Arabidopsis thaliana: one gene and its partners. The protein of the gene in region 1 interacts with the protein of each later gene in a pairwise test. Each region holds a gene or a part of one and is shown on either strand. Other genes may lie near its edges. The genes, in order: AT3G49160, AT2G42910 and HIPP20.

Evidence for each region.
Region 2: the proteins of AT3G49160 (region 1) and AT2G42910 interact in a two-hybrid assay, tested with the Arabidopsis thaliana proteins (one large-scale study listed by BioGRID).
Region 3: the proteins of AT3G49160 (region 1) and HIPP20 interact in a two-hybrid assay, tested with the Arabidopsis thaliana proteins (one large-scale study listed by BioGRID).

The regions. Positions count from the first base shown.
Region 1 is NC_003074.8:18,218,028-18,229,651, forward strand, and holds AT3G49160 (pyruvate kinase family protein), read right to left. Parts: upstream 6,879-11,624; 5' UTR 6,703-6,878; intron 6,407-6,702; 5' UTR 6,389-6,406; coding exon 5,979-6,388; intron 5,907-5,978; coding exon 4,302-5,906; intron 4,223-4,301; coding exon 4,105-4,222; 3' UTR 3,851-4,104; downstream 1-3,850. Other genes in the region: AT3G49150 (F-box/FBD/LRR protein), read left to right, coding at 831-1,857, 1,937-1,998, 2,089-2,403; AT3G49155 (F-box/LRR protein), read left to right, coding at 3,307-3,578, 3,727-3,850; EMB2261 (Tetratricopeptide repeat (TPR)-like superfamily protein), read right to left, coding at 8,927-9,408, 9,503-11,573.
Region 2 is NC_003071.7:17,850,348-17,861,707, forward strand, and holds AT2G42910 (Phosphoribosyltransferase family protein), read left to right. Parts: upstream 1-5,901; 5' UTR 5,902-6,048; coding exon 6,049-6,221; intron 6,222-6,584; coding exon 6,585-6,900; intron 6,901-6,999; coding exon 7,000-7,095; intron 7,096-7,200; coding exon 7,201-7,269; intron 7,270-7,367; coding exon 7,368-7,496; intron 7,497-7,703; coding exon 7,704-7,803; intron 7,804-7,916; coding exon 7,917-8,047; 3' UTR 8,048-8,320; downstream 8,321-11,360. Other genes in the region: ML2 (MEI2-like 2), read left to right, coding at 268-318, 413-529, 620-1,086, 1,189-1,347, 1,433-1,549, 1,665-1,816, 1,896-1,987, 2,077-2,968 and 4 more; AT2G42900 (Plant basic secretory protein (BSP) family protein), read left to right, coding at 4,252-5,082; AT2G42920 (Pentatricopeptide repeat (PPR-like) superfamily protein), read left to right, coding at 8,358-10,037; AT2G42930 (Carbohydrate-binding X8 domain superfamily protein), read right to left, coding at 10,521-10,925.
Region 3 is NC_003070.9:26,798,704-26,808,824, forward strand, and holds HIPP20 (Heavy metal transport/detoxification superfamily protein), read right to left. Parts: upstream 5,590-10,121; 5' UTR 5,244-5,589; coding exon 5,084-5,243; intron 4,918-5,083; coding exon 4,619-4,917; 3' UTR 4,394-4,618; downstream 1-4,393. Other genes in the region: LPR2 (Cupredoxin superfamily protein), read right to left, coding at 1-157, 1,285-1,521; AT1G71060 (Tetratricopeptide repeat (TPR)-like superfamily protein), read right to left, coding at 6,948-8,480; AT1G71070 (Core-2/I-branching beta-1,6-N-acetylglucosaminyltransferase family protein), read right to left, coding at 8,737-9,251, 9,342-9,457, 9,541-9,616, 9,969-10,121. UniProt on the Arabidopsis thaliana protein: Heavy-metal-binding protein. Binds cadmium. May be involved in cadmium transport and play a role in cadmium detoxification.

The DNA of each region.
Region 1 (11,624 bases):
TTTTTTAACAACATAAATCTAATAATATATGAGTCATTAAAACTTGGTTTAGATAAGTCATCTTTGAGCTTTGTAAATCAGTCACAAGGTTAATAGTAAAAGTTGCAGTGACAGTGAGGTTTATGTAAAACTCCTCCTCTGGGGAAAAATTAAATTTACCAAGTACATATTTAAGAATTTTCAGAATTGTTTTATTTTGAAATATAAATCGAGGACTTTTATTGATAGATTGAAGTATTTTTTGCTTTTTGCTTTTTGCCCCAAAAAAGAAAGATAGAAGTATTGTCTATCTTTTTTTGTACTTCTTATTGAAAAGTTGATATCAAAATTAAGTAACACCATATGAAAATGAGAAAGTGACAATCATGTCTATCAGAACAAAGAACATTCTTTTGCACTACATAGTAAAGTAAAATAAATAAAGAGAGAGAGAGAGAGAGAGAGACCAAGTCTCCTTGCCTTCTTTTCATCCATCAGTTACTAGTCTCGATCGATCATTGTTCCACATATATGATCGACATTTTCTCATAAAAATTGACCTTTAGAAAGAAATTTAGACAAACCAGAAGTCACCCGTTCCGCCACGATTACAAAAGATGTTCAAAGTTCTCAATACCGTGGGGTACTACCTATGTGAGTTTCCCAATTTTCTCCTTCATGGTTTTGTTATTCTGTCGTGTCGGATTTTAACGACTTCTGTTCATTCGTAACTGTGTTTTTTCCCGAACATACATCTAAAACTCTCAGATTAAAATAAATTACATAACTCAAGATCATGTCATTTTTCAGGTTGTAACTGTTTGAGATCTGTCAAAGTAGATTCAAAAAGGATGGATATATGTTGCAAAGATATAATTAGTGATCATTCAAAAAAAGATATAATTAGTGATCTACCAGAAGCTCTTATTTGCCACATCTTGTCATTCCTTCCCATAGAAGATTCGGCTTTGACTTCAGTACTTTCGAAAAAGTGGCAGCATCTATTTGCTTTCAGACCAAATCTTGAGTTTGATGACGCTGTAGTATATCTTAATCCTGACGGAGAAAGAAATGAGACAATATTTGAGAATTTCGTTGATAGAGTATTGAGTTTGCAGGGTGATTATCCTATCAACAAGTTCTCTCTAACATGCCGAGATTTTACTGATCCAACTTGTGTATCTCGTTGGATATCAAATGTGATGGAACGCGGGGTATCGGATCTTGATCTACGTTGTATTGTGTATTGGGATAATGGTACCATGCCTCCAGATATCTTTGTGAGCAAGGCACTGGTTCATCTGAGAATAGAAACTGGAAACGGTGCCTTCATTGATGTGGAAGATGTTTTTCTTCCAAACCTCAAGACTCTATATCTTAATAAAGTCTTGTTACGACACAGTGATAACGGCTTTGTGAAGCTTATTACTAGTTGTCATGTTCTTGAGGATTTATTTATTATGAATATATGTTGGGATGGTTATTTGAAGCGCTCTCTATCTTCTAAAACCCTCAAGAGGCTAACGTTCTTTTGTGAAGACGTCCATGCCGTAAATCCGGAGAGTGTTTCGTTTGATACACCCAATCTTGTCTACTTTGTATACCATGATTGCGTTGCAGACAAGTATAAAAATATGAATTTTGATTCACTTGTTTACGCTAGTATCTGTCTTCAAATGACATCTCATCAGCGTACACATGCAAGCTATGAACATTTGGTCGGTAATGCAACAGATTTTCTTTTGGGAATAAGCAATGTTCAGATCCTTGAATTATTTGCCAATACCATTGAGGTTTGTATTGTAATCCCTTCTTCTTCTTTTTTGGCTACATTGAAACAAAAAGAAGACAAACAAGTTAGTGTTACATGCCTTGCAGGTACTTACTTTCTGTTGTGAACAAATACCGGTATTCAAAAACCTGGTTTGTTTAATTATTAAGACTGACCAAAAAGCAGGATGGGAGTCATTGCCGGTTCTACTCAAAAACTGTCCAGATCTAGAAAGCCTTATCTTCGATGTACTAACTCATAACCTTTCATATATTGCATTTGCTTACACAAATTTGTAAACAAAAATTGAGTTTGAAGTTGGTTACTCTACGATTCAGGGGCTCCATCACAACGATACAATTAAATGTGAGGATGTTGACGGGTGTCTATGCAAATCTTCACGTGGCATTCCTAGTTGCCTATCATCAAGTCCGGTGCAGTTTCTAACGATATGGAAATTTGGTGAAATTTGTGATGACTATGATGACATGGAGAAGCAGATAGAGCTCGTCATGTATTTCCTGGAGACAATGCCGAATCTTGAAGAAATGAAATTGTTCTACGATACACAAATTTATGAAGATGTGATAAGCAAACTTCAGATGTTAGTAACCTCGTCGAAATGCACAGTCTATATAATCCCCGAGGTCTAACTTCTACGTGTCTACGAATCATCTATTCGGTATCTACTAAACGGGGTTTGTTCTGTAATATGTGTATTACTCTTTCGCCTTCTCAATACGCATTTTCACTTTTGTGTTGAATATTATATACTTTATGTTTTCTCAAAACTTCAAAATTTAAGCTTATGTCAAACCAATTGTTCTGATATTGCAAAACAACCCCAAATCGTTACATTTAAATTTATCTTTGGTCCTCTCGCAATTTTGTCGTCTTCTTAAGTGCGAGCGAAATCGTTTCTGCATTTTGTAGGAGGAGTCATGAAATTGTACATTTTGTCTTACCCACCGAGAAAGCATGAGCACGAATCGAGGCTTAGCGATTTCGTTTGCTCACTAAAAACCCTAACTTTCACTTTTTCCCACTCTGCTCTCTGTTCTTCCGTCGCCGTGTAGAAATTTCGATCAGGTTCGTCTCTTTGTTTCATTCTACAGCTTGTTTGATCATGATGATGATACTTTGAGATTCTATGTGTGCCCATTGGCTCTAAAGTTCTCGTTTTTTAGTCTCTCCTCTTTGTGCTCTGCGTTTTTGTGCTCACTGGCTCTAAAGTTCTCATTTTTAAGTCTCTGCTTTTTGTGTTCTGCGTTTTGCAATGTGGAGAAGAAGAAGTGTTGCTTTATTATAGCGTTTTCTTTTCTCTAAGCTTTTAAGATACTAAATATGAGATTTTTTATTTTTTTGGCTTGTTCTAATACCAATCTCACTAATCTTTTACTGTTTACAGGGACTTGAGACGCACTTTGTCTCTCAGATCCTTATTCAATGCTCGCTGCTACCAACCATCTTGTAGCGGTATCATTCAACGTGATGATGTCCATGAAGAGAAGCCACATTACGGCTCTTTTCTTCATCAGAGATCCTTCAGCAGTTCGATGATTCTCTCTCAGCAGCATATGATGAGAAGCCCTTCACATTTCCCACTATGCTCTCCTTTTGGTGTCTCTACCTATCGGCCTATGTCGACTTCACATATTTCAGGCTCAGATGAGAGTGGCGATGTGAATCATGTTGCTGAAACTCTTACTGATTTAGTGCAGCAAGATACAGTCATCGAAGTTGCCGATGCTGCTATCGATTCCTCCATCCAATTAGATTTTGTTCAGCAGATAGTTCATAATGTGCATTCACTCACAGGCTTAAACTGGTAAGAAATCTTCTTCTTTTTTTTGTGTTGGTCAACTTTTAAATCATGTCATCCTTGGAGTTATTGTTGGATCACTTTTTTGTGTTTTTTTACACCCAAAAATGACCATGTCTTATATCAATCATCTCTGTATGTTCTGTGATTGCAGGTGGGCTTCCATTGTTTTTACCACCTTTCTAATTCGAGGAGTGACAATCCCTCTCATGATTGAATGCGAAAGATGGTTTTCAAAGAGGATGGTAATAAAACAATGTTCTTTCGTAAACACATGAGTTTTGTGTCTCAACCAACCAAAACACCGTTCTTGTTTGTGATTGGCATTACTTTCTATTTATACTGTTCACTGTTTGAAACACCATCATCAATCGGAATCATAATGGGAGAACTAGAATCAACAAGCTTAATCCTTCCATGTTATGATCTCTATTCATTCATCATATCCTAAATACATTGTACATTTCCCCTAAAATCTCTTTCTTATAAAACAACAATACGAATATAAATGGCCAAGCAAACTACAAGCAGATCAATGGAGATTTTCAGAGTCCGATTTCTTGTAGATAAGCTTGGTATGAAGAATAGTATCCAACATTGAAACAGCTTCAACGATATTCTTGCCTTTGTTTAACATCACACAGCTCGCCCTGCATATTTTCAAAATGCAAAATTAGACAAAGAAACTGCAAATCTTACAAAGATCATGTCTAATGCAAAATATTTTACCTTTTTGCATTTGCAGCATCAGTAATCTCAGCTCTAGTTGGAACTCCGGATTTCACAAGTGATTCAAGAACCTGAGTTGCCATAATCACCGGTACACGAGCAGCTTTACAAATAGCTATAATCTCCTCCTGCATATTAGCCAATCTCTCCCATCCACATTCCACTGCAAGATCACCTCTAGCTATCATAATTCCTAAAGGATTCGAACACTTCATTGCTTCTAAAAGAATCAAAGACAAATTCTTGAATCCACTTTTCGTTTCAATCTTTAAAACAATACCAAGATCATCTAGTTTTCTTTTCTTCAACTCTTGTCGAAGAACGGTTATATCATGGACATCACGTATGAAAGAAATACCAACCATATCAGCATGTGAAGCTACATAATCAAGATCTTTAATATCTTTTGATGTTAAGCCTTTGAAATGGATATCGCTCTGCGGTATGTTAATGGACTTCTCTGATCCTAGTTTTGTACCTTTTGGACGTGCATGAGTTATGGAGACAATTACCTCTGAAGGACTTGTTCCTTTTATGACTCCCCATATTTTTCCATCATCAAAACCAATGGTTTCACCAGGCTTGACTGAATCAAACAAATAACCGGAAGGACAAGTTAACCTATGAGCTCCTGGAACAGTTACAGATGGTTCATCGAGCGATCCTTCTCGGGTTATGACTAGTAAATCTCCAACTTTTAGCCTTACAAAAGATTCTTTGGGAGGAACATCTACTACTCGTCCAACTAAACGTCTCCCTTTCTTTCCCTTAACACTTAACTCAGTTCCACTTTCTATGTAAGCAGTGTCGAAACATTCAGCCACAAACCCGGTACTGTTGAAAACATGAAACTCTTTTGAGATTTTAAGTCTCCTCTTTCTCCCTCTAGCGTCACATAGTCTTATAGAATCACCAATTTGGAGACCAGCAAGAAAATCTTGGCCTTGGACCGATATAGTAGCATCAGGGGAAACATGAGCAGGAGGTTCTGTTCCTGTGAGGCAGAGCCATACCAAAGCAGGAGAAACAACATTTCCATAAGCATCTTTCTTTGGTGAAATTTTCATCACACACGGACCAGGTTTTAAGGTACCAGTTCTGAGTTTTGGTCCTGCTAAATCCATATGAACGCGACATGGCATCTCTAACATCTGAGAAGTTCTTCTTACTCTTTTGATGATCTCACCCCAAATACTTGGATCTCCATGTGCACAGTTTATACGGATAACAGATGTTCCAGCTTTAAGAATATCAGTTATAAATGTTTCACTCAAAGTTGCTTCTTCACCAATAGTTACCATGATATGAGTACTTCTTCCCTCACGAAGTTTACCAAGTAATGACTCTTTGTATGATAATACCCTCCCTTTATCATTCTTCTTAGTACTTTTTCCCTTGGGATATACATTAGTCCAAGACTCCGTCACAGCGTTTTGATCGTTCATCAAAAGATTAATAGAGGCGTTAAGGTGGGCGAGAACATCCAGATTGTTGTTGTCTAAACTTGACAGACCAAGAGAAGCTAGATGACTGTTGAGCTGCTCAATGTCCAGAGATCTCAAAGCCATATAATGAACTAAGTTTGTTGCACATTCCAGATACTTACTGCAACAGACGGTACTAGGAAATTAGGCGAAAAATAAGTAATGCAAACTATATATAAAATGGTTAACAAACCTGTCACATAAGTGTAGTTGAGAAGCATTCCATTTCTCTGCTGCTAAGAGATGTGACCGAAGAGCATTCAGTTTTTCGATAACACTAGCCACATTATTGGCCCCATTGCTTCCAGAGAGGTCTGCTTCTGACTTGAGATGAGACATAGCATCTTTAGAATCTGGAAAGTCAAAACTCCAGGTACATTCTGTGGAGGTATTATCACCAAAGGTGGCTTCCAATCTGCTGAAACTTTCAGCTTCGCCTTTCCCGCGAGCTAAGGCAAAAGCTAAGGTTCTCTGAATAGGAAGTTTCATGTGATTAAGTGATAATGCATAACTTGTCTTCTTATGTTGGTTGTTTATGTGAGACCTGCTGGAGAAGCAAAGGATCTTGTCTCTCAACAAGTGGCTTGAATCAAGTCCTACCATATCGACTAATTGAATCACCTGAGAATCAAAACGAAAAAGGAGAAACTGTTATAGATTGACACAGAGGTTAAAACCTAGGCATAACCACAAAGACAAGAAACGAAACATGTATAACGCAAAGAAAGAAAACAAAAAAACAAACAAATTCCAAGTTCGTGAAAAGGACAAAAACAAGCCTACCACAAATCAAAATCCAGGAAACAAATCATATCTAAGCAAATAAGTTTTCTAGGCTACTGGAATTGAGAAAATATCTGGAAGGAATCAAAATCAACCGAAACTCATTCCCTAGAGGACAAGAACATGAGAAATACCTTTGTTATGGAGAAGCGCTTTGTTCAGATAATGTCTTCGCTCTCGTCTTGAGGAGAAGAAGAAGAAGAAGAAGAAGAAGAAGAAGAGAAGACAGATTTTTCAACGAAGAAGAAGAAGAAGAAGCAGAAGAAAGAATGATGAAGAATTTTCTTAATGAAATAAAAAAAGTTGTGGTTAAGGATAAAAAGGGAGTGTGGCGAGCGCGTGTCAGATTCATCTTCTCGGGGAATCTAGTAACACGGACGGATGAGGCTGAAAGGTCCCCATTATAAAACGACGTCGCTTTGTTTTTCTAAACCTATTCAGACAAGAGACCCAAAGATAGAAAAAAAAAGACCGGTCCATGCGGTTTAACCAAACCAATTCCGTGAAAACTGATTAATTTGGTTTATCTATTCCAACAATGGAAATTGTTTGGTAAATTTTAAAAGAGTTTGGGAAAGTAGCTCCTATTGTAAAAGAGTTTTATAATTAGACAAAGTCGTTTATGAATATATGAAACACTTAACTGACTATTTCAAATTTCAAATATATGTATAACTTTTAACCATGTAAGAACAAAAAAATAAGAATGGCTAAGTTTGCTTAATTAGATTTTGTAAAATTTGACACATTATTTCTAAATTACATTTTATTGAAACTATGATTCATTTATTGGATGTTTTTTAGAAAGTTTGTGAAAATTATTAGCGGATTTGTAAACTGAAGAATGAACATAAACCATTCAATCTTTTAGTTACGGGAATAATGAAACCTATAAATCGGTACAAAGTTACAAACACATTTCTAAGCATAACATTTGTTCAACACAACACTCTCAATAGGAATCTTATCCGTGGGAAAATCACAGTCTGAGTCCATTGTAGTTCTCTTATCCGGTAACAAACTGCACGGCTCCGGTGTAACCCTACTAGTAACTCCGGAGACATCCGTGCAGTTCCACTGCAGCTTCTTCGGGTCCGGCGACAAAGCTATAGTCACACTCGACATGCATAAACCCGTAAATGGACCATTCTTGATCCTTTCTAGCTTTGCCGAAATTGTAACGTTTTCTGCGGTCATGTCACGGTAATGGATATTGCTAATCTCCGGCAACGCCTTGGGATCAAACCCGCCTACGGGATGCAGCTTATACGAACCGGTCATCCAGAAAACGTATTTCATCGTCTTCATCGTAAATCTCCTAGCGAAAATGTCTTTGATGTAACCGCCACGTCCTATAGCGGTTTTGATTCGGATAGCGGATTGTGTGTTGATTAGTGTCACCTCTTCAGTTTTCGGAGAAGATGATTTCGATCAACAAAGGTCTTGATATCGACTTGAAACCGCCACTTCGATACTTCAACCACCATGACTTCCCTTGTCCATTAGTCGTTCTTTTGTTACCTAACAACAAATTTGATCTTATAAACTAAATATATAATTTTGATTCAATCTCATATATATATATCCATCAAACCATTTTAATGATTTAAGTTTTGTTGTGCTTACCGGTGATAACAACATCGGTTAGGTTACTTCCGTATACTAAACCAGTAAACCTTGCATCTCCGTATGACGGCAAAGGTGGAATCATAGGATATTCAGACTCATCCTGTTTGTTACAAACGAAATAAAACCAAATGTGATTATTTATCTCAAATAGAATGGTTGATATTTTTTAGTGCATTCATAAATAGGTGTACGATACTAGCTAAAATTTTGAGCTTAGATATATTTATTACCTGAGAAGCAAGAATAGTTGCACCTTGCTGGATAAACAAAGTAAAATGGCTTGTGAGGTTGAAACTTCCGGTGAGCCAACTCCCCGGCGGTACAATGAGTTGGACTCCACCGTCAGCCGCCAACGGAGTAAGCTTACTTATTGCTTCTCGAAACGCTTTGGTGTTTGAGGGTTTTCCATCTCCAATAGCTCCAAAATTCGTCAAAACCGCACTGTGTTTCCGGCAATTCAAAGCCAAATATTCAATACTCTTATTGCTTGTTGATCCCAAATTGCTTTGGATACGGGATTCCATCATCGGAAAACCGGATATTGCTAATACCACTAGTATCTTAAAACTTGTCTGAATCATCTTCAACTGTAATAACTTAAATAAATTAGAATGCTTCTCTTTATTTATTTTTAAAAAGAACGATCACATTGAACCCAAAATCCTCAAGATTTAAAATAACATTGAATAGAAAAGCCTCATTTGTGTATCTAAATCTCAAAGTCACCATTCACCAATAATCATTACAAGAACATTTCCCATCTTTAAAATGATGAAAACGATTCAAATCCCTCAACACAATCTCTCTACCAGAGACTGTCGATATATATTTCATCGCGTTATGGCAATCTCCGCAGACCCGTAAGTTCTTGAACACCCTAACCGGTCTAGATTTCGACGTGCTTATAAGCCCAAACGCAACCGCAATTTTCTCGCTGTGCTGATATAGTAACCTCTCCTTCTCCGCCTCATCATTCTCCTCCTCTAGCTTGTGAAGAACAAGATCCGTATCAGGAACATATCCGCAGCGTTTTATTTCTGTAATTAACCGATCCAATTCATCATATATTTGGTGAGCATTCGGGTGAGCTGTATCACCTACGTAGAACTTATGAATTTTATCTCCCACTTCTATCCAACTGCAACCTCCTTCTTTAACCAAGTTTCTCTCTTTCATCTTCCTCCTCATCTCCGTAGATTCTTCCCATTTCCCTACATAGAAATATTCAACAAAGTGTCACTTTCACACAAGGTAGATCAGTAGAAGAAAGAGTTTTATCTGATTGTGTTTGAATTATATAGATACCTGCACAAGCGTATATGTTTGAGAGCTGTATATAAGCTGCAGGCTCATTCGGATCAAGTTCTAAGATCTTCCTCGCAGCCAACTTTCCGAGTTCTGTGTTACTGTGAACTCTGCAAGCTCCAAGAAACGTACGCCATACTAAAACATCGGCTTGGAAGGGCATTGTGTTAATGAACTCAAATGCGTCTGTGAGAAGCCCGGCTCGACATAGAAGATCAACCATACAAGCATAGTGTTCCATCTTAGGTTTGATCTTGTGGTCTTCATACATTGAATTGAAATGTCTCCATCCTTCGGAGACCAAACCAACATGGCTGCATGCCGATAAGATTGCAACATAAGTGACCTCATTTGGCTTCACCCCTTCTTCTATCATTTGGTTGAATGTTTCGAGTACCCTTATAGCGAATCCGTGTTTAGCGAAACCTGTGATCATTGAAGTCCACGAGATGACATTACGATTTTCCATAAAATTGAAGACTCGGGAAGCTGTGTCAATGCTTCCACATTTGGAATACATAGAGATCAAAGCATTGCAGACGGGTTGATTGCACGAGAGCCCGAGTTTAACCACCTGAGAATGGATTTGCTCGCCTTTTCTTATTGAACCAACATTTGCAACTCCACTCAACAAGCTAGCAAATGTGAAAGCGCTAACACCTAATTCTCTCTCAGTGATCTCACTTAAAAGCTTAAATGCTTGCTCAAAATTCAAGTTCCTGCATGTTCCGTCAAGAAATGTATTATACGAAACCAAGTTCTTCTCAGAAAGTGACTCAAAAGCTCTCTGAGCATCTTCCATCCTGTCAGATTTAACAAACATGCTGATAACCGAGTTTGCAACACTGCTATTCGAAGCAAGCCCTCTTTTGAAAGCTTGACCAAGAACCTGTTTACCTACCCGTGGATCCGAAAGATTTCCACACGCCTTGAATGCACTCGAGAAAGTGAAATGATTTGGCTCAACATGACCTTGCGTTATCATTTCACTAAAGAGATTAATAGCCTCTGTAGCGAGATTACAGTTTTTCATATAACCAGTGATCAATGCCGTCCACGACATAACACTATGATCCTCCATTCTATCAAACACCTTCCTGCAATCATCTACCGAACCATCCGCAGAACATTTCGCATACATATCAACTAAACTACATTCAACATCATCCACAAGCCCTGATCTAATAGCCCAAGAATGCAACTGCTTTCCCAAAGACAAGTTCTCCAACTCAGCACAAGCCGAAAACACAGAGCTTAGTGTGAACTTATCTGATTCAAATCCACTTAAAACCATATCCAAGAAAAACCTAATCGCTTCCCTAGGAAACCCCATCTGCATACACCGAGTAATCATCAAAGTCCAAGTAACAACATTTAGTTCAGACATTTTATCAAACACCTTATACGCATTCTCAAAGCTATTCTCTCCTTTCACAAACATGTCAATCAAAGAACAACCCACACACACATCAGATTCAAAATGCCCAGTCTTCATCAAAAACCCTAAAGTCACTCTCCCAACTCCAACAAAATCCGAATTCGAACAAGCTCGTATCACCGCCGTGTAACAATAATCATTAGGCACCAAACCTAACTCCAGAAACTCAACAAAAACCTTAATTGCATCTAATTCTCTTCCGTTGTTACCGTAACAAGCCATCATCGCACTCCACGAAACAACATCTCGCTTACCAAATCTTCTCATAGTCTCAAACACATCTTCAGCTTTCGCCGAATCTCCAGATTTCGAATACAAGCTAATCAACGAATTGTAGAGAACCGAATCAGGCTCGATATCAAACTCGATTAATCGAGCGTGTACGAGTTTCCCGAGACGAAAATCGCGTGCTCGGATACAAGATTTGAGAAGTGAAGAGAAAGTGACTGAGTCCATAGGACGAATCCCATCACGAGCCATGAGATCAAGAGCTGAAACCGCTCCACGAAGATCTCCGGCATTGAGATGACGGAGAATCAAACGGTCGGCGACGTTGATCCGATTTGAAACGGACGGTTGAGATTTAATCGGAAGTTTGGCGGGAGATGGAAACGAAAAGCTTATCATCGCCATTGTTCTCCAATCTAAACGATCCGTTACTGTTAATTATCAATATCACACAAA
Region 2 (11,360 bases), on another chromosome or scaffold:
TTAAGCTTTGATTTGAGTTTATTGCTCTGTCTCTGATGATGTTTTGTCGCCACAAGCAGCAAAATTTTCTATTCATCGAGTTGACCAACTCATGGTCTTGCTTCGATTTTCTTCTTCTCAGTTATGTTTGTTGATGTATGGACTACTAGGAAACACATGAGTAGCTTGTGATCGAGAACTAATGATCTTAGCAAGTTACTGTTCTGCTTTATGATGCAAAATCAGAAATCAACTAGCAGGTCTTTGATATTTGATTCATATCTGCAGTTGCAGAAGGCAAAAAGATGGAGCTAGAACCCAATAAATCACTATCTGCTGGTATGAATAGATTCTTTCTTGCTTTGATTGAATTTACAATTTTTGTTTCTCACAATTTTTTTAATATCTATTGATTTGGCTATGTCAAATCTAGATATGCCATCTTTGCTGAGTAGATCATCTGAAGCTTTTAATGGAGGCACTGGATATCGTTCTTCAAGTGATCTCAGCATGTTCTCAAGCTCATTGCCCACACTTTTTCATGAAAAGCGTATGTCCTACTAGCTTCTTTTAGTTATTCAGTTTTAATTCTTGATTTACTTGAAGAACAGTGCTAATATCTTTTTGTTTTTGTTTGCAGTGAATATGACTGATTCAGATAGTTGGCTCTCCTTTGATGAAAGCTCACCCAATCTGAACAAACTTGTCATAGGAAACTCAGAGAAAGATTCTTTGGAAGATGTTGAACCCGATGCTTTAGAAATATTGCTGCCTGAGGATGAAAATGAGCTCCTTCCTGGCCTCATTGATGAGCTTAATTTTACCGGGTTGCCTGATGAACTTGACGATCTCGAAGAGTGTGATGTCTTTTGCACGGGAGGGGGTATGGAGTTGGATGTTGAATCCCAAGATAATCATGCTGTTGATGCGTCAGGGATGCAGATTTCTGATCGCGGTGCTGCAAATGCATTTGTTCCTCGTAAACGTCCCAATACGGCTGGTAGAGTTTCAGTGGAACATCCAAACGGTGAACATCCTTCAAGGACATTATTTGTTAGGAATATCAACAGCAGTGTCGAGGATTCTGAGTTAAGCGCCCTTTTTGAGGTAATCAACACTTGTTCGCTTTCATCTTTCTCGTTGAGCCGTAACTCATAGAATATTTGAGGTTTGCTCGCTCTTGCTGATGGGATTTCTATTTGTCACCAGCCGTTTGGGGAGATCAGAAGTTTGTACACTGCATGTAAAAGCAGGGGGTTTGTTATGATATCCTACTACGATATTCGAGCTGCTCATGCCGCAATGCGTGCACTACAGAACACACTTTTAAGAAAAAGGACACTGGACATTCACTTTTCCATTCCTAAAGTATGGACTACGAGAGATATTCTTGATTTGAAGTTTCAGCTTTTCTTTAGTACTTTTCTCATCATCAGCTTATGCCACATGATAGGAAAATCCATCAGAGAAGGATATGAATCAAGGAACTCTTGTGATTTTTAATGTGGACACAACAGTATCGAATGATGAGCTCCTTCAGCTGTTTGGTGCCTATGGTGAAATAAGAGAGGTAATTTAACTTGTGCGTTCAAATGTGCATATGCTATGTCTAAGAGATTCTTCTCTTTGTTTGGTACATAATGTAACATATCACCTGCTTATTGATTCTTGACTTGTAAATGCAGATTAGAGAAACCCCAAACAGGCGATTCCACAGGTTCATTGAGTACTATGATGTTAGAGATGCAGAGACAGCCTTGAAAGCACTGAATAGAAGCGAGATAGGTGGAAAATGTATAAAGCTCGAACTTAGTCGTCCTGGAGGGGCTCGTCGACTGTGAGTTTTCTGCACTTTGTATATGTCAAAGAATTGAGTTATCTTGCATACACTGTGAACGGAAACTTTTTGTATGCAGGTCGGTCCCGTCACAAAGTCAAGATTTGGAGAGAACCGAAGTTACAAATTTCTACAATCAAGTAGGTTCACATGTTGCTAATTCTCCACCAGGTAATCTCATATTGATCATTTCTTTTATCAACTTTTTCTCTCGATTGGTTAGCATGCCTTTTCCGTAATTCATTCAATCTACTTAATAGGTAACTGGCCAATTGGTAGCCCAGTGAAGGGCTCTCCTTCGCATGCCTTTACGAGGCCACATGGTCTAGGAATGGTCAGGCCAGTTAACTCAGACAATATGCCAGGACTGGCTTCAATTCTTCCTGCTCATCCTTCTAGCTTTCATGGATTTTCACCAGTCAGTAATGACCAAGGGCTATTGAATCATTCAAACCAAACTATTCTGAATAAGGGATTGATGCACAACATTTCCTATGGGCAACCTCATTCTTTGCCAGAGCATATAACAGGGGGAATTTCCAACTCCATGAGGTTTATAGCTCCACACTCCTCAGGATTCGGGACTTCATCTGATCACCGCTATCGCTGGGGAAGCCCTCCTCAGCATATGAATTATCCTGGTTACACTGGAGTGTCGTCGTCATCGTCATCTACTGAACGTCCTTTCACTGTCAGGCATGGTTTTCCATTTGCTGAGAGGCAGGCTTCATTGCTTGGAAAATACCAGCATCATGTGGGCTCTGCTCCCTCAAGCATTCATTTTAATACACAAATGAATTGCTACACGGGATCACCAGAGATACCCCTTGGATTTAGTGATATGGGAATCAACAGAAACTATAACAGTGCTCATGGAAAAGCAAACCTTGGTGTTAGTCTACCGGGGAACAGTAGTGAACAGGATTTCACTGGCTTTGGCATGTCTTCAATGCCTACAGTTCCTTTCGGTGGGAGTAGAGGATTACAATCAGTAAGGCCTGAACCTTTTGCTGAGCAGGGTAGGATACATAACCACGAGAGTCACAATCAGAATCAGTTCATAGATGGTGGGAGATATCATATCGACTTGGATAGGATTGCTAGTGGAGATGAAATCCGAACTACATTAATCATCAAAAACATCCCAAACAAGTAAGCGTTTTATTGATCTCAATCTAAGATATTCGAGCAATGTTTAAATTTCAAATGCTTTGTTTTGTAAGGTACACTTACAAGATGCTGGTGGCTGAAATCGACGAAAAGCACAAGGGAGACTATGACTTTCTATGCTTGCCGACAGACTTTAAGGTATTATACTATAAGAGAGAGTGAACTCATGATGCACTTGTATGACCTGAGAACTTACTAACAATCTAGCTTTTTTCTGGATACAGAATAAATGCAACATGGGTCACGCTTTTATCAACATGGTCTCTCCATTGCACATCGTTCCCTTCCAACAGGTTTCTTTACCTTTTCTCTTCAGTATTGTCTTTAAAACTTCTCTTCACTAGTCATGAAGTTGACTATGTATTGTGGATATGGTAATTATCCGATTCAATGGCTTGAGATTGTTATAGCTAAAAGATATTCATAATGTGTGTTTCTGCAGACTTTCAATGGTAAAATATGGGAGAAATTCAACAGTGGGAAAGTTGCTTCATTGGCATATGCAGAGATCCAAGGAAAGTCTGCCCTTGCGTCATACATGCAGACTCCAAGTTCTATGAAGGAACAAAAGCAATTGTTTCCAGAAGTCTCCTACCATGATGATGGTCAAGACGCCAATGATCACGTATGTTTATCCGATACAAAATCTCATTTTTGTTTTTGTTTTTGATACATGATTTCAAAATGCATATGCAGTATCTTCAGATTTTTCCACCGATTTCACCTTGTATCTATGAATCATACAGGAGCAACTGTTTTCAAGCATTTGGAACATAACCGCGCCTGATTCAGATTGGTCTTACACAATGGATCTTATCGAAAATCCGAGGGAGAACGGTAACTCCAAGAATGCTGCAGAAGAGTCCTCTTGAATCCCCACTAAAACTAGTAGTTGGGAACTCTAACTCACCATCAAAGGTAAACTAAGTGTACAGGTCTGGCGCGGTTATGGAAGAAACAGAATGTACAGTATTAAGGCTTGTTTTCTCCACGGAACAAAGTAACCAGTTTTTAGGGATTACTTCACTCGAAGCAACCGATTAAAGAAACATCCCTATTAGTACATTACGTTGTATACTTTATATTCGGAAACTTCTCTCTATATCAGTCATGTGTATATAACATCCTCTTGCGTGTACATTATCCTTTCCATGTGAAAGACATGATCAGTATTTAGTTGTACAACAGGTTCGTTATAAGTTTCTGTCTCAATTAGTTATCATTACAAAACCGTTACACGTCTCTCTCTATGTAGACATCTATCCATGGTTTCAATGACGGATCAGACTCTTCTTCAACCTTTCCTAGCCAAACCCACCACCAAAGGCTTAGCAACGGAATCGGATTCAGGTATTATTCTGCGGCTTTTCTCTATACTTCTCGTCGGAGCAATCTCTTTGTGGGCAAACCATGAGGCTTCAAAAGGCTTCTCCATAAGTATCATCAATGATGCTAAAGATTCTCCTTCCGGTAAAAGATTCGCCCTTTTCTTCGAATCTGATGATACGGCAGTGCGGATATTGCTCGATGCAAGCTTCTTTGTGGAGAGGTTTCTCTACGAGGGTGTTCCTCATCGTCTCCGTAAGCCTGTAAACCACGTTACCGTCCAATTCTGTGGAAACAGTAGTGATAGAGTAGATAGGTTCTCGGTAACTTCAGGTGCAAGTCATGGAGAGTATGTGATCAGATTAAGCCCATCTCTCACGGAAAGAAAAAAGTTTAGCAACGCCGTGGAATCTGCATTGCGACGTTCTATGGTTAGAATATGGCTATGGGGAGACGAGTCAGGAGCTTCGCCGGAGCTTGTGGCCGGCATGGTGGAGTATTTGGCCGTGGAGAGCCGAAAACGACGTCACTTTGAAAAGTTTGGTGGGAATTGGAAGGATAAGGAAAAGTCTGTGTATGTGGTTAGCTTGTTGGATTACTGTGAACGACGTAGCGAGGGTTTCATCCGACGGTTGAACCATGGGATGAGACTTAGGTGGGATGATCGGACGGTGGATCTTGCTTCGAGTGGTGCGTGTGGTTCACGCAAGGATGTGTTGCGTGAGCTTAAGATGGACGACAGTGGATTGATAATTGAGAGACGAACATGATATGTTCTCGTGCTGCCATATTGTAGCACACATGGCTCCACGTCATTATTTCAATGTGTATAATTCATCTTCTATATTCTTATCGAAAAATGTTTTTTTTTTTTTTTTGTCGTTCGAAAAATGATTTAATTTTTTCTCAGATAAATAAAAGAAATTATCTGAAATTTCTTTGTTGTTAGTCTCAGAAAAAGAAATTATTGGAGCCCAGTTTTGGTGAGTGGAAACTTTTGGTTTTGTTATTTCAAGGCCTTGTCCAACAAGAGTAGGATCAGGACCTACGGGCCTATTTATATAGTATATTTATTTGAGTGTCAGTGTCACACTAATCAAGGTTTAATTTTAAAATTGCAGTATTAAATATTAATGAAGGTTTTTATGCGAGCTGATAGCGGCCTCAAATAAATATATTCTCGATTGGATTTCTTTAAAAAAAAAATCACTTTAAAGTTGACAAAAAAACTCAGTTTAAAGAAAATTAAGGTGGAATTATCTAGTTAAGTGTTACTCTTTAATATTTGGCTAATTGCGTTGGTTCATGCCTGTTTAAGAAGGAAATATAAAAAGTTTTGACTTAGGAAAATGAAAATGAAAATGAAAATGATGCAGCTTCCCAGCTTTTTTACAGATTCCAGATATTGATCAGATTTTTGATACCGAGATTTCTCTTCTCTATTGATTTGATAGAGTTTGGGAAGGTTTTCAAATATCAAAGAATGGAAATAATGACAACATTAATGGAAATACATTCAGTAAACAGTACCTAAAGTTTTATTTTTATTTGAAATTAAAATAAAGATAAACGTATCATTTACAGATTTGGGGTACAGAAATAAAGTGCAAGGAATCAAAATTGTCAGCCGAACAACAAAAAAAACAAGGGCTTTTCAGAAAAATAAAAAACCTTTAAACCCTTTTTTTGTGTATCCGATTCCGTCGCAAGTACATTCGGACTCTTTCACGGCGTCAATGTCTGAGAACGCAGCCAACAACATCATGGAGACCAAGATTTGTACAGACGCCATCGTGTCTGAATTACAGAAGAAGAAAGTTCATCTCTTTTACTGCTTAGAGTGCGAAGAACTTGCTCGCAACATCGCCGCTGAATCTGATCACATCACTCTCCAATCCATCAACTGGAGGTTTTTCCCTCTTTCCCCATTTTCTGGGTTCTCTTTTTGTGTTTCTGGATGATGTTTATTGGGTTTATGTGAGTTTAGGTTAAGTAAAAATCATATCTTTATTCTGAAACAAAATTCCCTTGTGTTGGTTTTCCTCCAGAATCTGTGTGTTTGCATGTGTGGTTGTTTGATTTGAAGCTTATGTATTCAAAAATCTTATCTTTTGAGCAAGTTTCAGTTTTCTATGTAAGAATATAGCAGTTTAAGTGTTTTAAGTTCTCTTCTCTCTTACTGTTAAATGAATCTCTGGTTGGATAGTTTTTGGTGATTCATAGATGGCATTGAGGATATGTGAATTGATGTGGTCATTTGTTATGCTTTCAGGAGTTTTGCTGATGGATTCCCGAATCTATTTATCAACAACGCACATGATATCCGAGGCCAGCACGTTGCGTTCCTTGCTTCATTCAGTTCCCCTGCTGTCATCTTTGAGCAGATCTCTGTCATTTACTTGCTCCCTCGATTGTTTGTTGCGTCCTTCACTTTGGTGTTGCCTTTCTTCCCCACTGGCTCCTTTGAGAGAATGGAAGAGGAAGGAGATGTAGCAACTGCTTTTACCATGGCAAGGATTGTCTCTAATATCCCCATTTCACGCGGTGGTCCGACTAGTGTTGTCATCTATGACATTCACGCTTTGCAGGTTTGTTTATTTATTTCTGATATCCCCGGGGGTTTGCTACATTTATTTGTGGAATTATTCAAGTTCATCACTCTCTCTATATATGTTCATGTGTTGCAGGAAAGGTTTTACTTTGCCGATCAGGTTCTTCCTTTGTTTGAGACTGGAATCCCGTTGTTGACTAAACGCCTTCAACAGCTTCCTGAAACTGAGAAAGTTAGTTCATGAAAAACTGTTACTGATAGCATCCACTTGTGTTTTCAGTGGCTGTTCTTTTTTGTTTTTGCTCAATAATCTAAATTTGATTCCATTTGTTTGCAGGTCATAGTTGCATTTCCTGATGATGGAGCCTGGAAGCGTTTCCATAAGCTGTTGGATCATTATCCCACGGTTTGTAGCTATCTAAAACTGATATTTTATAACGCTTCATTTGAACATCTTTATGACCTGCACAATATCTAATGGAACTCAATTTTGATTCATAATAGGTTGTGTGTACAAAGGTTCGTGAAGGCGATAAGAGAATAGTCAGGCTGAAGGAAGGAAACCCTGCTGGTTGTCACGTTGTTATCGTGGATGATCTTGTGCAGTCTGGGGGTACACTCATTGAATGCCAGGTATCAAAATTCTCATATCCCTGCATTTTGTATCTTCATATAGGTTATAGCAATCTTGAATAAATTCTGAATCACAAGTGTTGTGTCAAAACTCAAGAGAGGCTTTTGATCAGAATCTTTGTTATTTCTGATGTTATATGAGATTTGTTGAGAATCTAGTTTGAAATTACTCATCTTAACTGTTTCACTTTCTTTTTGTCACAACAGAAAGTATTGGCAGCGCATGGAGCTGTGAAGGTGAGTGCTTATGTAACTCATGGTGTCTTCCCAAAGAGCTCGTGGGAGCGTTTCACCCACAAGAAGAACGGTAATTATCTGTGAAAATGAAAGAAAAAGTAACTAACTTTGTTCATTGTTCTATAAATATCTTGCTTGTTGCATCTTTAAACTGAAGTCAATGTTATTGTTTCTTCGAATTAGGATTAGAAGAAGCGTTTGCTTACTTCTGGATCACGGATTCTTGTCCACAGACGGTTAAGGCCATCGGAAACAAGGCTCCTTTCGAAGTCTTGAGCCTCGCTGGATCCATTGCTGATGCTCTGCAGATTTGAAGCAGTAGAGATAAAGCCTGGTTCTTTGCTCGTTTTGGACTTTTGGTGGTTTTATACTCTTAAGAGATGTGCTTTGGATGATCATTTATGAAATAATCATATCACTTTTGCTGAAATAACTAGACAGATTGTTGAAACCTTGTACTCTGTTCTTGTTGATTGATCTTCTTTTGCAATGAATTGAATCGTTAAGTTCAGAAAGAAGAAAAACTACACACGTGTGGTTGTCTTGTTCATTATCAATGGCGATAATGTCACACGTGTGTAATCTCCTATAAATTATCCAACCTTTAAACTTAAATCGACAAAAATGTCTCCGACGATCTTATCCTTCTCCGGTGTGACGGTGCCGGCGATGCCGTCATCAGGTTCCCTCTCCGGCAACACTTATCTCCGATTGATAGACACACAATGTAGTACGATGAGAGAACTTAAGCAAATCCACGCCAGTCTCATCAAAACCGGTTTAATTTCCGATACTGTTACCGCGAGCCGTGTCCTCGCCTTCTGCTGTGCGTCTCCGTCAGACATGAATTACGCTTATTTGGTATTCACTAGGATCAATCACAAGAACCCATTTGTCTGGAACACTATAATCCGTGGTTTCTCACGGAGCTCGTTTCCAGAGATGGCTATTTCGATTTTCATTGACATGTTGTGTTCTTCTCCGTCTGTGAAGCCGCAGAGATTGACTTATCCTTCGGTGTTCAAAGCTTATGGTAGACTTGGCCAAGCTCGTGATGGGAGGCAATTACATGGGATGGTTATTAAAGAGGGACTTGAAGACGACTCGTTTATACGGAATACGATGTTGCATATGTACGTGACTTGTGGGTGTTTGATTGAAGCTTGGAGAATCTTTCTGGGGATGATAGGTTTTGATGTTGTTGCTTGGAATTCAATGATTATGGGTTTTGCGAAATGTGGATTGATTGATCAGGCGCAGAACCTGTTTGATGAAATGCCGCAGAGAAATGGAGTTTCTTGGAATTCGATGATTAGTGGGTTTGTGAGGAATGGTAGATTTAAGGATGCGTTGGATATGTTTCGAGAGATGCAGGAGAAAGATGTGAAACCTGATGGGTTTACAATGGTGAGTCTGTTGAATGCTTGTGCGTACCTTGGAGCAAGTGAGCAAGGGAGATGGATACATGAGTACATAGTGAGGAATCGGTTTGAATTGAATAGTATAGTTGTTACAGCACTCATAGATATGTACTGTAAGTGTGGGTGCATTGAGGAAGGTCTAAATGTGTTTGAGTGTGCTCCTAAGAAGCAGTTATCGTGTTGGAATTCGATGATTCTTGGTCTAGCTAATAACGGATTCGAGGAAAGGGCCATGGATTTGTTCTCGGAGTTAGAGCGTTCTGGCTTGGAACCAGATTCAGTCAGCTTCATTGGTGTTTTAACAGCTTGTGCTCACTCCGGGGAAGTACATAGAGCTGATGAATTTTTCAGATTGATGAAAGAAAAATATATGATTGAGCCATCAATAAAACACTATACTTTAATGGTTAATGTGCTGGGTGGAGCGGGGCTCCTCGAAGAAGCAGAAGCATTGATAAAGAATATGCCGGTGGAAGAAGACACTGTTATATGGAGTTCTTTGCTTTCTGCCTGCAGGAAAATCGGTAATGTTGAGATGGCTAAACGAGCAGCAAAATGTTTGAAGAAGCTCGATCCAGATGAAACGTGTGGTTATGTTCTCTTGTCTAATGCTTATGCTTCTTATGGCTTGTTCGAAGAGGCAGTTGAGCAGAGGCTTTTGATGAAGGAAAGACAAATGGAGAAAGAAGTTGGCTGCAGTTCGATTGAAGTGGATTTTGAAGTTCATGAGTTTATATCTTGTGGGGGAACGCATCCTAAATCCGCAGAGATTTACAGTTTACTCGATATCTTAAACTGGGATGTCTCTACAATTAAATCAGGTTTCGCTGAATTGTTTGATGCTACAACTAGGATTGGTTTCACTTATCTGGCAGAGAAATAAGCAATTTGATAGTTTTGGAGATGTAGCGGAAGATATCATTTTAGGTATTATACTAATTTATCATATTGTTATTTATACAAAATATTTCTTCTCGTAAAACCACACCTTGATTGTCCTGTTCTACAGTTTTCTTCTAGGTCAAGCTATCTGAGCAGCACTATAAGCCAGGTATGTGAATACAAAACCCCAAAAGAAGCTTCGTAGGCTTGGAGTTGCAGTTCTTGTTACTGAAGAAGTCAGTGGGTATGGACCAGTGCTGAAAAATTGATTTATATAAATTATATCTACTGTGTTTTTCTTCCGGAAGGTTAACGAAATGGAAAAAAAAAAATGAATCTTATGCTCACCTGTTAGATGGAAACTTACACGTTGGAGTGCCTGCAATCAAAGTTCACAGATATAAGAAGAAGAACAACAATCACAAATTGAAGATGATTATGAAAAATCAGTTCTGACGTATATAGACACTATCACAATGGAACTCTAGGAATTTTGATCAGAGGTTGGTTTTATTTTTTCGAATGTAAAGTGTTTAGTATTACTTGGGTCCTGAACTGTAAGCACAGCAGCACCATTGAAATCGCAGTTTCTGGGTATAGGATTCTTCTGGTAATAGTCATTGAATGCATAAGAAGCTTGGCTTCTGTAATTGTCGAGGTCTTGACAACGGCCACCCTTTTCCAATGGTGAGCAATCAGCACCATTTTTGCAAGCCCATTTTAGGCTCGAAATCACTCTTCTAAAGTAGGCATATGGATTTTCCATGCACCAGAGTGTGTATGTAGGTATAATGCTTGTGTTCTGCTGTGCAGCAAGTGTACCAGTCGCTTCTGATGTTCCTGCTACTGAAACTAGTGCAAAGAGGGTTATTAACATCTTCGTCTTCATTTTCTGAGAAATTTCTTGCTTTTTGGTAGAAAAATAAATGGAGAAACTGGTGATGATTATATTTGATGATGATGATTTGTTGTCTATCATGTACATTTGCATGTATTTATATCATTGCCTGGAGACGTATTTAAAGCCTATGCATGTGTTGAACCAACTATTGAAATTTATAACAGGCATGATTATATGTCTTTATCTCTAATTAATGCCATGACATGCTATGCAGTTTACACTGACCATGTATAGTGCCTCTGTTGTGTGTGATCATTACAGGAAAGCGTCCTAAACGGAATCTTTCAAAGAAACTTCATCGAGAATGTTGGTTTGGAAACGCACAGCACAAGTTATTGATCCAAATCCAGAAAAGTTTGGAAGTTTGTGCTTGAAGGTTAGTTTATCATTCGATGTCAGTTTTAATGTGTTTGTGATTTATCT
Region 3 (10,121 bases), on another chromosome or scaffold:
CCCAAGGGAGGATATGATGTAAAGGGAGGTGATTTCGCCACGTCACGTAGGTGTCGACGCCATAAACAGCTTCTATTGTTGGTCCAGGAACTGTTGCTGAACGCTTTGATGTACCATATGCGAACACTGGCGTGGCAGGCAAGTCTCTGTGGAATTTCTGTACTTCACAATGATTTAACTCATATCAGTGTGTGACAGAGTTAGAGAAATTCAAAAACTTAAATCATTCGAATCATTAGCAGAGTAATAAAATAGTTTAAAGGAACAGAGCACAATTAGCTAGGCCAAAGTGGTAGAAAAGCAATCATAATTATATAGTTAGTGGGTAATAACTTTCTATCAATTAATCATTAGATTTGATGATGTTCTTAGTATAATTTATCAGAACAAAACTTAAAGAGCTTATAGAAACTATAAAAAAAATGTGTATTCATTCGGTAGGAGAGCAAAATAATATTAAATTTGACTAGTTATAAAAGAGCACTGATTCGTCAGTACTATAAACCAATAGATATTTTTCTCAAGAGGACAAATAAGTGAGAGGATAAGAGTGGAGTACACAAGATGAATCAATTCCAAATCACTTTACCAAAAAAGAGCCGTAGCCAACTAAAAAGCACTTAAGTTTTCACTGATCTATACGATTTCGAATATTTAATGTTAATTTTTGTCATTAATGAGTTTAGATTAGTTTATGAACAAAGAGGAATTTGAGTATTCATTCGGTGAAGGGCAAATAATATTCAACATGACGAGTGATAAAAAGTATACAATTATTAATACTTTTTCTCAAAGACGACAAACAAGTGAGGGGACAATAGTGTGAACACAACACGAATCTATTCTAATCACTTTACAACCTAAGAAGAGCCGTAGCCAAGTAAAAAGCAAATTAACTTCACTAATCTTATACGATATCGAATTTAATGTTAATGTTTTTCATTAAGGAGATAATGTTCAACATTAGTTAGTCGGCTTAAGTTGGTCAAGAAAGTTAATGAGTCTATTTTTTTGCATGTAATACAGGTGTAAATCACTAAATGATGGTTATTTGAATTTTCTATCTAAATATTTTGGCCATTTATAACCTCATGACAGAAATGGAAGATGATCTGTTTTCACGAACGACTATAGACTGGAAATTTAATTTAATAACATACCAAATATAACTTCAAGAAAACAGAGAAAACAAGAGGAAAATATATAATAGAGGAAAGAAATTAGAAAACAAGGAAACAAAAATTAGAATATAAGGAAAATGAGAAGAAGGAAAGAATTAAATACCCATTTCTTGAAGAACATGCCTATGTGAAGAGATTTGGGTTTGAGGAAGCCATTGACGAAGTGGTAGCCATGAAGTGTTGGTATATGAGGAAGCTTGTCAACGAACATCTCAAGCTTCCCAAGATTAAACAGTCGCTCCTCTTGCTTTATGCCTCCTTCGTCTCCGGTTACGAGCCATGCCATCGTTACGATTAGAAGCAACATGTCTCTGGTCATTCTCCTCCGAGAAGGCTCCATGTCTTTGTCCTTCACGAGCTGTCGAAATTATATGAGAAAAGTCAAGTGTGTGTGTGTGTTTGTATGTGTGGAATACTTAAAAGTTGAGGAGAGAAGTTGAAGAAGTTCTTTGGGGTTTTGCGTATTTATGCATACGAGTGTGTGGTGTCAAATAACTTTGTTGTTCTTTGCTTTCATTCTCTTGACTATTGAGTCGCTACTTTCCTAGAATTTATCTTCCAAAAAGGAATGGTTTTTTTTTTAATTAGTAAGCTTCTACATTATAAAACTAGAATTTGAATATTATATGTACATGACAAGAGTATTGATTTTTCTTAAAAAATGAATATATATATATACGTATATAATATATCCATTAATTATATGGTTTATATCTATCAAAAATTAACTGAAAATTAAACAGGGTTCATACTTCATAATTCTTTTTGTGAATAACAAGGTTAATAGTTCTGTCTTCTCAAATGGATCTTTTACGAAAAAATCAACATTCTTCTAATGGAACTAATACAAGAAAGAAACCATGGAAACTTTTGGGCCTAGTTCGTCCACTATATTTCGTCCCGTTATTAAGATATTTTCTCTAACTTACGCGTTACAAAAAAAATTAGAATGAGTTTTTCCAATCTCTCAAAAATTGTCTTAACCATGTTATCGTTTTAGCTCCTTCAGCCTCCCGTAACATGCATTATCGCAGACCTATAATGGTTAAAGCTAAGGTTATCATCCAAGCTTGTGGGAGGTCTCACAAACATTCCTTCACTAAACAGATCTTTATTCGCATGTCCAAACACCAAATTTCAACCATTGAAATTTGTAGTTATGTTTGCCTTAAAGGTCGAACCATTTCTCTGCGAGTTAGCCGAAATCTAGCAAACCTAATGTTCTCTAAAACTAATTCTTTTTGTTTTTTCTGTTTTTTTTTATAAACTTTTTCTTCATTAATATTGAAAGTAGCGAAAAAGTAACCCATCAGTCTATAAAAGACTGACAATATAAAATATACCTAGCCAGGCCCAAAATGAACCCAGCATCAACAAATAATTTTTCAAAAGGGAGAATCAAAAACAGCCCAAAAACCTAACATATTCTTTATTTGTTACAAGTTGGAACTATAGTTCCTTTTAAACTTCTCTTGATGCTACTCCAAAGATTATCATCTAGCATGAGTTCTAACGTAAAAAACACGCAAATAGTGGTTATACATATATATATATATATACTCTATGCTTTTCATTTGAATACACATCATATATTATACAACTACAATATATATTCATGCTTTTAAAAAATAATTCAGACAAATCCAAGAAACCTAAAAATTAAATTTAACAAGAAAATACACCAAATTAACTTTTTGAAGAGTGTGAGGAAAAAAATCAAATTAAACCAAAATTAATCAATTTGACTCTGAATCAACAAAATTTAAAACAAAATCAACCATTATATATACAAAGTTCCTATTATATACAGATTTTGTGATCAATCCAGTTCTACAAATTTCAGGTTTGGTTCGTTTTTGGTTTCACAGATAATTGCTAGTACTATTGACTTTTGAGCCTGTCTATGTTTTGGTGTTCCTAGTCAAAATGACTGGAAGCCGTCGATGTCTGGGGTACTGTACACGTGGAGGTTATCCAAAAGCCCATCTCCCACCTAGCTAAAAATGCGGTTGTCGCCATCAAACGACGATTTTACCTTAAGTCCCACCTTGATATGTTCAAACGCGCGTTTGCGTTTTCCCTTCGTGTGCCGCTTCTCATCTCTCCATTTGTTTGCGTCCTTTTCACAGTTTCAAATCTAACATATCCATTTTTGTGTTTCAACTTTCGAGTTATGCGAAGTCATAATTTAATAATCAGTCATATCAGTTTCGTCCCAAACAGTTGATTTGAAATATCCAGCGAGATACTTAAATGTCATCTCATCATAAGCACCATAATATTATGAAATTTCAAATTCTAATATTCTTGGGATTTTATTTAAAGATCACTCATTCTAAGGATTAAACAGGTGTTTGTTTTACGTGAGGCATTAATTTGTTTTGAGTTGTACAAGAATAAAATCTCCCAGTATATTATATACAAATTCACAGCAAGGTTTGAACTACAAAAATATATTAAGATTAGACTATAATGTATTAAGGTTGGATATGTGCACGGTGCCACAGTTTTATTCGAAGAATAATATATTACATTTCTGATCATCCATGCATGTAACAAACATACTCAAAATAGTTATAAAGAAAACAAGAAGCAGACCAAATTGTGCAATAAATTAACCGTTTCGTAAGAAACACAATTTCTAATTTCACTTACAAATTGACTTGTCTCCTTGCGAGTGGTCGGAAATATTTTGCTATGGTTACGTTCCAAGTTAATTACGGTTACTACTAATTTTCTTGATTAGTTACGCGTCATTTTCTAAACCTAAAGTCATTTACTAAGAAAGTTATGACTACAAATACCTTTCTTTTTTTATGGCTGCATCATCAGCCGCATATCTACTTCGATTGAGGAACAAACTATATTTAATGGCTCCGAAGAAAATCTAGTTAAACGCTGTTGGATCTTCTATGTGTCAAAAACTACGTAATGGAAGATAAAATATAGAGATAAAAAGTTGATATTTTATTATCTGATGATGTATGGATTTCACTTGGCACAGCCGCATAGATTACCACAAAACCACTTCACAACACTTTTTTCGCTGACTAATTTGCCTTCACAAAACCAACAAAACTCCAACAGCACGTAGCTTTTTGTTTATTTTCTCTTAATTAATTTTTAACCAACCTGAGCACTTAACCGATTTTCCTTTTTTCGTATTTATTTTTAAATAACTTCAATTAATTCCACTAATATAATAATTTGCATAATCGTAAATAAAAACATAAATCACCCGAAAATACTTTGATATTAAACACATTGATTATACACATTCCACTAACTTATTTTGAAATATTGAAATTTTTACACAACTAGCTATAGTTGGTTCTTCCTCTCTGCATTAACATAACAAAAAGAGAGAGAGAGAGAGAGCCAATTGCTTGATAAAAACGTTACATGCTGTGGATAATACTACTAGAGTAAATTATTTATTACATAACGGTGCAAGCGTTGGGATTCTCGTCGCTAAAAAGAGAAATGTAGTGGTTCTCGGGAGCTCCCGGCAACAGCTGCAACTGCGACTGCTCAGATTTCCTGACATAACCGGCCGGAGCTTTTTTGTCGTAAGTTCCGACCGCGTATGGATATGCGACCATGTTGTAAGGAACGTACGGCCATATCTCCGCTTTTTTCCCTGTCCTTTCGATTCTCTTTAATACCTTCTTTGGTTCCACGTATCCACTCACCGTCACTTTATGTATCTTTCTATTCACCTCCACCGATTTCACACCTGCGCGATTTTTATATTGATATAAAGACCGTGTTAATTTGGCTTGTTGTATGTAGAAATGGTTTGGCGTGCTTACATGAGTACTCGTTTAATGGAAATCAAAATTACAAAAAAACTTACAGAAACCATTCATGACATAAGTAGTCTACGAGTTGGAGATTCGAACCTTTCATGGAGGAAACCGCGTTCTTGACTCTGCGTTCACAACCATCGCAGTCCATTTTCACCTTTATATTCACCGTCTGCATGACTTTCCGCTTCCTCCTTTTTCTGGTGACGCGGAAGTAGTCGGAGATATACTCGGAAAGAGAATCAAGAGCTCCCATGTCTATTACTCTCACCAAGAAAGATCAGAGATGCATATATTATGGACTGGACTTGACCATATTTATAGCAAGTACATGGTGACTTAATGGACAAGTGTTATGCCGAGGATTAAGTACAATTAAATGTGTTTAATATTCGTAAAGTGTAATTAGAGAGATGTATATGTGGCCCTCTAATGATGTTTTCCTCCAAATACACACGTTGGACAACGAGGCCAATGTTTTTGGGCTAAAGCACACGACTCCCGCCGATTTCTTTGTTACAAAATTCTAATATCCGTTTTATATTAAAAAGCTAACTATAATAATAATAATAAACAGAAGAGTTTGTAGTTATAATTTCTTTTTTTCTAACAATGTCCGATCGGTCGTTTATAATAAAACAATGTCACGGGATTAGAGGTTTATCATCCACATCACCTGAGTCACCTCAAAATTCACATGCGTCAAAGTTAATTCATTGAGAATGGCAATTATGGTTGTGTAGATTCTTCTTTTACCATCTAATCTTTTTCTTTTACAATTTTGTTTATGATCATTTTCGTCGTATACATATATATGATGTCGGTATGTATATATAAGTTTATGAAAAAATTGTAATCGTGTATTGAAAACGACATGACCCTTCTAATTAATTTAACACTTTTGTTACTTTGGATAGGTACACGATCGGATGAATGATAATAGGGTTTATAGATAAACTACACAATCACACATTCAATTATTTCAATTTAGGTCAGAAACAGTAAAAGGGAATAGTTATAAGAGAAAAATAGAAAGGAATGTAGCAATTTAAAGGGCAATGATTCGATGAGAAAAAATAAGGTGTGGGGGTCCGATCTTATACGAAGTAGACAACTCAATCAAACTATTTAGGTAGTCTATAGTTTGAAATAAGAATTGTTATAAAGCCCCTCCACATCTTTTTATTATGTACATTTAGACATTTTTGTTTTTTGCTTTATACTTTCCACCCTATAAACTTCGTTGGCATTTTCTTCTCTTACACCCCAATTATCATATTCTTCTTAGACCTCTTTTTTTTTTTCCTTTTACAAAATTATATTTTTTCTATTTTTCTCTTCTAAGCTACTCAACACAATTGATCGAATTTCAATTTTGAGTTAAAGTACCCCACGAGTAATTCTTGAAAAAAATTCAGCAATATACTAAAGAGGGGTGTTACCGATATGAAGTTAATTCCATAAGAGGGTTTCATTGAAATAGCCAGTGACAACATAAAATCTCGAGATTACCAAATCGACAGCTATTATATAGCATGCCATAGCATTTAGCATAGCCTCACTTTCAAAATTAAAGGTTACTAAATCAAGGAAACATAAGCTTTGATCAATGGATTATGCATGTCCACATCCTTCATTTACAAAAAAGAACACAACAACTGTTTTTAACTATCTACTATTTGTGAAAAGAAAAAATCATCATAGCCCATTCAATTACTTTGACCCATTCTTGTTTGTTTAATAACATTGACTTGTCCATTTCTCATAACGAAATAACAGTGTTTTCTATATGGTGACTACATCATACACTTTTGCTCGGATAGAAAACTGTCTCTAAATGCTCAGAGCTCTGAAATTTTGGATAGATCATAGATCATAACTATTCAATAGTCCAAAAATATCAAACAAAATGTAGTAATAGAGATAAACAAGAAGAGAAAACAGAGCCATGAAACCCACTTCAGCCAACAAGTTGGGTTTTCCTCAGCCTATCCATCTTTACAACCAAATCCGTGACTTTATCTTTCCGGCCTTCATCGAGAAGTGTTTGTTTAAGACGGCTAAACATATGTCCCGGTGGCCTAATACCCACATCCAACATCTCATTGAAATACTCACAAGCCTCGTCTAATTTGTTCTCATGGCACAGAGCTGTGATCAAACTTGAGAACATGTGCATTCCTGGAAGAACACCTTTCCCTTTCATCTCGTCCCAAATCTTGATCGCCATATCCAATCTCTCTTTGTTACAAAACATCCTCACCATGATCTCGTAAGTACTCACCGTCGGTTCACAACTCATCGTCTGATAAACTTCATACGCTTCTTTCGAGCGCTGCATTCTAATCAAATGATGAAGAATTATATCATAAGTTCTAGCATTTGGCCCAACCCCTTTTAATCTCATCTCATCAACGGTTTTGTATGCGTCTTCCATTCGCTGTGACCAGCAATAAGCACCTACTAGCGCATTGTAAGTAGGTGCTTCAAGAGGAAACCCGGAACTCTTTGATCTCTCAAAGAACTCAAGAGCATCATTCAACTTCTTCTCAGAGCCAAGTCCATTAATCAAACTACAGAAAATGTGAGGACTTGGCTTACAATTCCTCTGTTCCATCTCATTGAAGAATCTAATAGCTTCTTCATACTTCTTCGCCTTGCAATGCGCATTGATAATAATACCGTAAGCGACAACATCCGGTTCAAAACCTTCGTCTTTCATCTCTCTGTTAACCTCATCAACTCTCAAAAGATTCAACTCCTGACCCCAACCTTCAAGTAGAATAGTATAAGACTTAATATCAGGCTCAAACCTTTTCTTTTTCATTTTATCGAACACCTTCTGTGCATCCCCAACATTTCTAGATTTGCTCAAAGTATCAAGCATACGATTAAAATCACTTGATTCCATCTTAAACCCAAACTCTTCCATCTTATGAAACGCACCTATAGCTTCTTTAACTTTCCTAGCTCTAGCGTAACGTCTAGAGATAAGAGCAAATGTCTCTTTGCTCAAAAGCTTTTTTGCTTTCATGTCGTCTACTAAACTCCAAATGAGTTTGAATTGTTTGATCTTACCTAATGATTCGATCAATGCGTTGTAGTTTGAAGTAGTGTGCTTGAAACCCTTTTGATTCTCTGCCCATTTGAATACAGACAAAGCTAAAACACCAGCGTTGCTTAGCTTCTTCAGTACTTCTTCGATTAAGGCTGGTGAAAGTTTAACAGAAGCTTCGTTCAGCAAAGTTTCAACCTTTGAATCCGTGAATTTGGTGAGAATCTTGCAGATTCTCTCTGCGTCTTGTGAAGCATCATTAGCAGAAACTTGGGTTTCAACAGAAGAAGCGTGAAATGATCCGTAAAGTGTAAAGTTTGAAGCTTTATGAATCCATGGAATCGATTCGAGACTCGGTGACGAAGACGAAGAGATTCGAGAGTACACACGTCGAGAGAGATTCACTCCGGTGACTCTGAAGAATCGAGAGAAGACCATTGGAGGAGAAAGTTTAGATCTTTAACTTTCAATTAACTAAGATACAACAGAGGAACAAAGGTTTATCAAATTTGCGAACAAAAGTTCTCTAATGGCTTTAACAAAGGAATTACAAAATCTGGGAAAGAGAATAAAAATATCTCCTTTCTCTTCTCTTTCTCCTTCTCCTCGTATAAATACAGCAGCCACTGTGTTGTTGCCCAAAGAATTTAACCTTACAGAGACTGAAAACAATGTAGTCTCGTGTGTCGTATAATCACTTGCATTGATTCGATTGTGAATTCAAATCATCAAGAAAATTCGTTATTGTTTCGTCTAGCTTCTTAGCTTGAGGTCCAGCTTTGACAATGTTTACTTCATCCCACTCCGAGCAAGGATCTGTCCACCAGCTACTGTGGCTCGAGCACCAAGCGCCAGGAGTGACTCTGTAACGTCCACGTTTCAGGATCTCTCTATCGACCATGTCGAGTACTGGATCATCTTTCTTGAATTGTCTAGCGAAAGCTGCTCCGCTTTGAGCCATTTGGTCGAAATCCGATATAGTAAGGAAATGTGGTTCCATTTTTGGTGGACTGTCCCATATCATGTATCGTAAGTCCCCGTTGACTGTCGTGTTACTGAACTCCGGTGCGTTGCATATCACCGTGTGGAAGTAGCATTCTTCAGAGAGAATGACATTGTTAAAATACATGAGAAGGATTCTTGGTAAATTATCCCAACCGAAGATGCAGTATTCTAGGAAAGGTCTGCTTAGTACAATCCAAGGCGAGCCTGCAGTGATATCACAAACCAGCAACATGAGATTGTATACATATAATGAATGTAGCCAGAGAAAGTATTATTAGCTTCTGAATCTTTTGCCTGTAAAGACTTTGAATGCATCTGGTGTTGGTCGCTTTTCGGTAGCAGTGAAGAGCTGAGTTCTTCTAGCTAAGTAAAGTGCTGGATCAACAACAATAGGCTTGATTCTCTGAGATCTACATAAAGATCCATTATCATCATAATCCCCACCAAATGTACAAGAAACAGTTCAAGAGACTGGCAAAAGTTGTTTACTTACTCTTTCCAAGCAAGGTCACTAGTGTGATCAATAAAATTGAGACTTCTGTTCACCGAGGCAAACACATGAGATAGGTCTGAGAGAAATCATGAGCAAAGAAAATTCATTAGAATCCAGGTCATAAGAAGACAAACAAACAACCAGTGGAGTAATAAAGTTCTAAATCAGATTATTTGCCATAAAGAGATCAGTGAAAGTGATTACATTTCCACTTTATTTCCAGAAAAAGAGTATATATATTCTAGAGTATATCATAAACACTGCAATCTCAAGAAGCTAAGAGCAGAAACTAGAACATTAAAAAGCTCAAAGACAGGTCAAAAACAAAGATCTAGAGTGAAAATGAATCAAAATCACAAGCAAACTAAAAAGCTAGTTTCTTCTCTAGTTTAAGATTAAAATAGAAAGAAATCAAAATTAAAACATACCATCTTGAGTTATGAGAGGATAATCCAAAGCACTAAGCTCAATAAACCAATTCCAAGTAGGATCAAGCTTAAGAAGAATAGAAACAGCGTGAAGAGTAGAAGCAATCTTAGAAGCACCATTCTCAGACAAACGATCAACTTTCCCTAAAACAT